Oryzias latipes: one gene and its partner. The protein of the gene in region 1 interacts with the protein of each later gene in a pairwise test. Links are inferred from orthologs where the notes say so. Each region holds a gene or a part of one and is shown in the gene's direction. Other genes may lie near its edges.

The links. The genes of interacting proteins can lie anywhere in the genome.
Region 2: the proteins of u2af2 (region 1) and sugp1 interact in binary tests that used the Homo sapiens proteins (3 or more experiments, as listed by UniProt). The link is inferred for Oryzias latipes from reciprocal best matches to the Homo sapiens genes U2AF2 and SUGP1.

Annotation. Positions count from the first base shown.
Region 1 is NC_019874.2:19,813,582-19,817,336, reverse strand, and holds the start of u2af2 (splicing factor U2AF 65 kDa subunit), read left to right. Parts: upstream 1-1,171; 5' UTR 1,172-1,746; coding exon 1,747-1,795; intron 1,796-2,585; coding exon 2,586-2,754; intron 2,755-3,150; coding exon 3,151-3,186; intron 3,187-3,406; coding exon 3,407-3,510; intron 3,511-3,755. UniProt on the Homo sapiens protein: Plays a role in pre-mRNA splicing and 3'-end processing. By recruiting PRPF19 and the PRP19C/Prp19 complex/NTC/Nineteen complex to the RNA polymerase II C-terminal domain (CTD), and thereby pre-mRNA, may couple transcription to splicing.
Region 2 is NC_019875.2:22,733,394-22,737,148, forward strand, and holds the start of sugp1 (SURP and G-patch domain-containing protein 1), read left to right. Parts: upstream 1-1,418; coding exon 1,419-1,446; intron 1,447-2,089; coding exon of another isoform or gene 2,090-2,150; intron 2,151-2,234; coding exon of another isoform or gene 2,235-2,293; intron 2,294-3,087; coding exon of another isoform or gene 3,088-3,162; exon of another isoform or gene 3,163-3,255; intron 3,256-3,755. Other genes in the region: E3 ubiquitin-protein ligase RNF126, read right to left, coding at 1,185-1,423, 2,090-2,150, 2,235-2,293, 3,088-3,162.

The DNA of each region.
Region 1 (3,755 bases):
GCTGATATTTTTTGATGAGAAGTTGGCAATAGACACATCGTCACCTGTATGTAAAAAGACAACAAAATAGGAATTGCAAAGCACTGACAGCTTATTATTTGACATTTATGAAATGTTGTTGGTAAAGGAGTGAATACGTTTAATTTACTATAACGCCAAAACGACCAACTGCCATCACAGCAGACAACACTCACACAGGATGGCAGCAAAAAATGATCAATCCATCATTACAGTTCAATGTGACGAAACACTTTGAATTATGCAAAGACATGTGACCATACAGCGTGGCAGAATGTTCTAAAAATGTTCCCTTTGGATTATTTTGATGTGGAAAAACATTAGTGGGATGAACTTTATGAAAATAAAATGTGAATGGATTTTCCATTAATTCTTGTTTACTTGTTTGTTTGTTTTTACACTTGATTATCTTGCAAGAAATAGAAGGAATCTGGAAAACTTCACCTGCACCGTTCAGTCTCCAGGTGTTTATCTCTAAGTATCACTGGTTGAATTTTTGGCTAAAGATGTCCTCGATCGAGTTTAGGCCAGTGAATCGGATCAACTCAGATCATTCAAAATGAACCAATATTAACTATGAATCATATCAGCAAACATGAATTATGATATGAATAAACACCATGAATCGTTACATCCCTACTAGAAAGACGAACTCTAAGAAATTAATATTTTGCATAACAGGGCCTGATAGAGCTCATCTAAACATGATCTGTCCTGCCTGTCTGTGTGTAAAAAATGGGCTATTGCTTGATGAACCGTAAATCATTCAAAGTATACAGCAGGATGCTGACAATTCTTCTGAATCTATCCGCAGTGCTTAGGGCTGAGTTTTGTGTTGATCTTTCTTAAGGATCTATCACTAAAATCCAGTTTGTAGTTGTTTAATTAAATTGTGTAAATGACCGTTGATTGAAACACAAAAGCTTTAAGCATAACATTTAAAATCTACAGTAAGTTTTGGATATTTAACTATATTAACATGTATTTTTAACTGAAACACGTCGTTTTTAAGTTCATACATTTAGAAATATTCTCCCAATAACCATTACAGAGAAAGTCACATGCAGGTGTTCTGTTGTTTTAATCAGAATTCAATCACAGAATTGTCTCCATGCAGCTCCAAACACAAGCCAGAACCACACGACGTTCTTCTACCGGAAACGCAGCGTTCATCAACTTCCGATGTCACGGGGTATCTGGGAGTCGGAGCAAAAAAGCGGGCACAACAAAATCTTTGCTGTTTTTGTAGACTTAAAACAGCAGAAGGCGTAAAGATTTGGATTATTGCGTCACATAAACACATATTGTGGGCCTGTGACTAAGCTGGATTCGCTTTGGGCTTCGAAAATAGTCTCATTTATTCGGATTTCGTAGCCTAGCTAGCAGCTGAGCCTCCTCGGCGGTGTGGAGCAGCAGGCCTTTCTTCTGGACTTTGCTACAAGCTAGTTAGCTGGCGTTAGCGGGCTAACTTAAGCGAGCACGTTTTTCCTTTTTCCGTATTTGTATGTGTTACATTTGAGCAAATACCACGTCACTAATGTGTGTGATACCACCTATCGTTTGATAGGTTTGTTTTTGAGCCGTGTTTTTGCTAACCGAGGTTAACTTTCCGAAGCGCTATCATTGAAGCGCTTGAATCTCAAAGTGCTCACTTTCTTGCTAGCTTAAGCTAGCCTCCGCCAACCGAACAACGCAGTCTTCGAAAGCGTAGTAGGTTTCTATCCAGAGATGTCGGATTTCGACGAATTTGAAAGACAACTGTCTGAGAACCATCAAGGTAAATGGACTAGTTACACAATTAACAATGATTGCAAAAGAGGTACATGTCATTTTTATCTCTATGGTTAGCACGTCGCGGACGTGTCTGTTTAACTGGCCTATGATCAAATAGCCTCTAAATGTACAACGCAGCTTTACAAGTTTATCGATGTTTTCCTGTAATCTGGCTTTCGGTACTGTTGTATAATGCTATTAACATTAAAATGTTTTCAATTTTGTATTATCTTGAACTCCATCGTGGTATTATTATGGCATGTCCGATTCATGTGGCGTGTAATAATATTTAAGCGGTGCTTTCTGTCATTGAATTATCATTCAGCCGCTCGTGCTCGATAGTTCCTTTTTACAAGTTCAACTGTTTATCTTTATACATTCTCTACTGCAGTTTTTGCAATAGTCCTTTCAGTTTCATATTGTGTTTATGCTACTGATACAAATTCTTGCTTCTTTAATATAGCTGGTTTCCTGTACTCTCCTCTTTTATCTTCCTTTTTTTCCCACCTATCTGCAGATGCATCGTCTTGTAGCATGATTAACATAAAAATGTACTTTTAAGAGAAATAACCTCATTTATGCACATTTTCCTTCTACTTGATTACTACTTGATTTATCTTTTCACTTTGTGTTCATACCTGTAAGACCATTTATGAAAATTAAAATTAAACATCGAGAACATGTCTAAATTCAGCTCGCTTTAATTTGCTTTTATGAACAATATTTCTGGGGTTATGTTTTTTAAGAAGATTTTTGTTTTAATGAAAAACACTTTATACTTTTATACTTCATAGTTACTGAGCACCGCTCTTTTGCCACAGAAAGGGACAAAGAAAACCGGCACCATCGTCGTTCTTCATCCCGCAGCCGCAGCAGAGAGAGGAAGAAGAGGAGCAGGGATGGCGGGGAAAGACGCAGCAGGGACCGCCGTGGGGACAGTAAGGAGCGGAGACACCGGCGCAAGTCAGTACATCTACACCAATCCTCCTGTTTAAAAACAAGCTGTTATGTGTAAAATCTCTTATCAACTGTCCAGCAATAACATGGCAACGTTAAGTCTCTTTATTAACTTTATTGTAATGTCTGCAGTCTACATGCATCATTACATTGTTCACACAAATGCACCAGTTATGTATGTTTGTTCTGATGAGCTTTTGATTTCATTTGATTTATTCGTTTTTTTTTCCCTACTTCTTTTGAAATTAGAAGAGAATTCTCACTTGTTTGTTTTGAAGTGCATTGATATTCAAGTGTGACTGGAAATGCAGTGTTTTTTATTTTATTTATGAATCATAACTCAAAAAGTTTGTTTGATTCATATAAGAAATCTAAATCTCTTCCTCCAATTTGTCATTTCAGCTCGCCACCCGCCTACCCTCAAGAAAATACTGCAAGGTAACAGAAAACTTAACACAAAGCTGGCAGTTGCAGAAACTGTACATTGACACTCCTATCACTTTAAAGACAATTTACACATGTTCAAGTAATTTGTTTTTGGGTATTGTCCATTTTTCTGTCTTTTTTGTCACTTTTACTATGTTGAAATCGATGCAACCTTCTTTAAAAAAAAGTTCATTTTCTCCTAATGTTTATTTTTTTTTCTTCCCTCTTACAGCCGATCTCCCCATCGTGAAAAGAAGAAGAAGATCAAGAAGTATTGGGATGTTCCTCCTCCTGGTTTTGAGCATATCACTCCCATGCAGTACAAAGCCATGCAAGGTAACTCTTATCTGTTTCCAGTGTATTTAATTCACAAATGTGTACACATAACATGCTAAAGGCCTGTTCACACCGGGACGAATTTCGCCGGCGATTTTCGCCGACGTTTAACGCCTCGTGACTAAACAAAGGGCACGAAAAAACGTGCACGCGTTAAAGCGTAAAAAAAAAAACGCCTCGGGTTCGTTTTTTTTTCGACGCGACGCGTCGCGTCGAAATCTACTCGACCAATGAGAATGGCACTT
Region 2 (3,755 bases), on another chromosome or scaffold:
CAGAGCAGCTCAGTTTAATGAAGCTGTGACAGCAGATGTAGGATCTAGATCTAAAGGCAGCTAAGTACAAAATATGTCATGGAAGTGATGGAAGGATGTGTTTACACAACTAAAAAAATGAAGAAAATGTGGTTTTGTACAAACTTTGAACTTATGATAACAGATTTTGTGTTACAACAGATGTTCCGATGCTTTTTTAATTATTTATTTTTCCCATTCTGTTCTTTCACTGCCTTTTTGCTGCATAACTGACATGCTACTAACATGTTTTTGTGTCTAATAACAGATGTGTCCTCATTGCTGGTTGTTCGTCGCGTTGTTTTCAGTATTTTTTGCTTTAGTGCGTCTTTTCCTTGTAATCTAGACCCCAGCCGGCCACAGCAGGTGGTCCTCCTGACTCAATCTGGTTCTGTTTCTTTCTAATCTCCCATTAAGAAGAGGTTTTCTTCCTCACAGTCACTTTGTGTGTGCTCGGTACAGAGATGACACCAAATCTGTCGGTCACTAAAATAGGCCATCGATATACAATTAAAACAGTCTGGGCTTTCTTTTTGGAATTATCAGGCTCAATTAAAATATTTTTTGTTTTTTGTATAACAGTTTGAAACTGCCTGAATTATGAACTGGTCCTTTACAAATGAAGTGAATTGAAAATGAAGCATTACACCTGTGTAATACACACTTATGATAGAAACTAAATGATTTTCTGCAGCGTCATTTTTGTTTTTAAAGTCTCTAATTTGTTTCTTGCTTAAATAGGAGTAACAATATTTTTCTTCCTCTGCTGCCTTTAATACCATGAATGATTATTTCTGCCAAATACTCAATTAATCCACTTTTAACTCACAAGCTCCCGACTCTTTTTCAGGTTTCATCATTTAGAGGTTTAGGAAACCTTTGTAGGTGAGTAGAATTAAGGTGTGGCACAGTGTGTATAGAAAATTGCCTTTTTTCAGAATAATCTAATTTTCTGACATAGAAATTAAGGGTTTTTACTACCTGTAAACCTTAACCTTAAAAGTATAAGAATTAAAGACTTGAAATGTTAAATTTTCGTGAAACAAATGTGTACTAAATAAATGTTTCCCTTTTTTAAATGACTGACAAAAATGTAACTTTTTACAGTATTCTTATTTTTGGATTGTACTTGTACCACACACGCACCGCCACGACAAATGTCTCACCCCTCTAATGTGGGCACTCCCTCATGGCGCGTACCCTGTCGCCGAGGAAAGTAGCGACCACGTGGTTGCCGTGCACTGTATCGTTGCCGCGATGCCATTTCCCTTTCTCTCCTGTTTTCTGCCTCTCTGTTATCCTCTGAGGGTAACCGCGCTCGGACGTCAAAGTTATCATCGAAGATGCCGAGGGCGAACGGACCGTATCCAGAGGGAAATGTGAAGAAGTGCTGGTGATCCATGTCCTGCAAAGAACCACAGAGTCAAGGTCCAAAAACGACTTAGACTTTTTCCATAGAAAAAAAACACTTACTAAAGCCCCCACAACGATTATCTTTTCATCTTTTTTAAAGGCATTCCTAGTGGTTTTTAAATTATGATTGTGCCGTTTTAAGGCAAAATCAAAAAGCCTGTGTTGTTTTCTAGGACATAGTTTCTACAGAGCGGCAGTAGTTCATTAGAAAGTTGACTCTGAGTTGTGGGCAGGACTGTCGGCATGGAGTTAGCACGCCCTCATTCCCCATCATCCCTTTTTTACAAGCTTACAGCCCCTTTAAACCCCAACCTAACACTACCGGTGCAACAAAAATGGCGATCCAGCCTTACGGTTTGGATCCAGATGCGGAAAACAAATACATACATGGATCTAGGTGTCTAAAAATGGATGCATCGGTCTGGACCAGAGCAAGAAACTTGTGGCCAGCCGATTATCATTTGTACACAACAACTACAAGCTTTTTTAAATGTAATATTTTTCGTCTGCTCCTGATTTGAACAAAGAAATAGTCAGAAATTCAGTTGTAATCTTAATTTCCGTTATATGTGTCCTCAATCATGAGAAAAATGCTACAAGAAGATGCTTAAAAACACCAAGAAACTTTTATTGGAGTGGGTCTTTAAGTCCCTCTTACCTCAAAGGACTGACGATTCTGGTCACTGGCAGAGGAAGTGGATGCTGACCTATTTTCAGAGCTGAAGAAAGTTTAAAATGTAACACAAAATACAAAACAAATAAATGTGCACCACACATATTTGAATAATAGCAACAATTCACACCTTATTTCTTCTGGTAGCTCCTCGATAAAACCAGAATTACATCTTGGACATGTGTAGTCCTATAAAAAAAATACAATATCATATTATGTCATAATACCACAAATATTTATCTGTAGGATGTCTATAGGTCCAAGATAATTACATTTTTTTTAATGTATTATGCTAATCTGACAGTTAAAATCCTTAGAAATCTGAATTTAGTTAGTCTGTTAAAATACCTACACTATTTAAAAAAAAAAACAGAACTAGACCTTTAGAAAAATAAACTCCTTTGTTTTTTAGATATTTGCCTAGAATACATAAAAACACTTTGCCAGTACTTCCTTAGTAAAACACAATCACACAGCTAAACAGTCGACTGAATAAAGCAAAGGTTACTGTAACAATCAAGAAGTTTCCCATGAAAAGCATGACAGCATGCTGTCAAAGAGTCAAAGCGCCATCTGACCCAAACCAGTTTCAAACACAGACTCAAGGTCACAGAAAACAAACCAGTTCAAATATTTCTGGAGAAACCTGAATACATTTATGACATTAAAAACAAATGGAATTTTCTGTTTGTTAGCTTGTGGTCAGAAAACGCCACGAGACAGTTAACAGTGTTGATCTGTGAAAGCTGGCCTTGGTTTTGTCCCAAATGTTCCCATTTTGAAAGTGTATGTATGTAAATACAGAGGGATAACTGGAGTCTCTGCCTGCCAACTTCGTTACTGACATTGACTGACAGGTTAGCTAAACAGGTATAGCCTAACAGCAGCAGCGCGTGGACGTCTGTTGATCTAACACACTCATATTTAGATAACACGCATTTTCTCCGCTTTCCTACTGACTGTTGTGCCTGTGAGGTTCTTACTGGTAAACGGGGTGTAACCTCTGCTGAGCACCGGTGACAGAAAAACCGGCAGGGCCGTGGAGGGGCTTCAGCCATTTTCAGGAGTTGAAGAGTAACGGTGTGGACGGAGAGCGGTAAAGGACAAGAAAACCCCAGTTTGAGTTCGCTGAGAGGAAAAGTGAAGACATCAAACATCATGTGACTGAGAGAGGAAAGCTTCCGCTTTAACATTGACTTTCAAAATAAAATAACGTAAATCAACTTAAATTAACTTAACTTAATTAAATTAAATTAAATTAAATTAAATTAAATTAAATTAAATTAAATTAAATTAAATTAAATTAAATTAAATTAAATTAAATTCATAAAGTGCAAGTGCAAGTGCAAAGTTTGAGCCTAATCTGCAACACCACTATGTCCACCGTAAAAAATGAAAAATATCAATCCAGCTATCTCAGCGACCATTGCTGTAAAAAAAAAAACTGCACTGATTTGCAGTTAGTCACGTTCATTAACCCCTAAAATAATATAGGAACAAATTCTAAATTACTTTAGATTTAGTTTTACTTTTCTCACTACTGAAGTCCTGCTAAAGTAAAAGCGAAAAACAAAAAGTGTATCTTTTCACAGAAGCTTTAATCAATCAGAGTACCATTAATTAAAAAAAATTTCTATTAAAAAAGGCATAT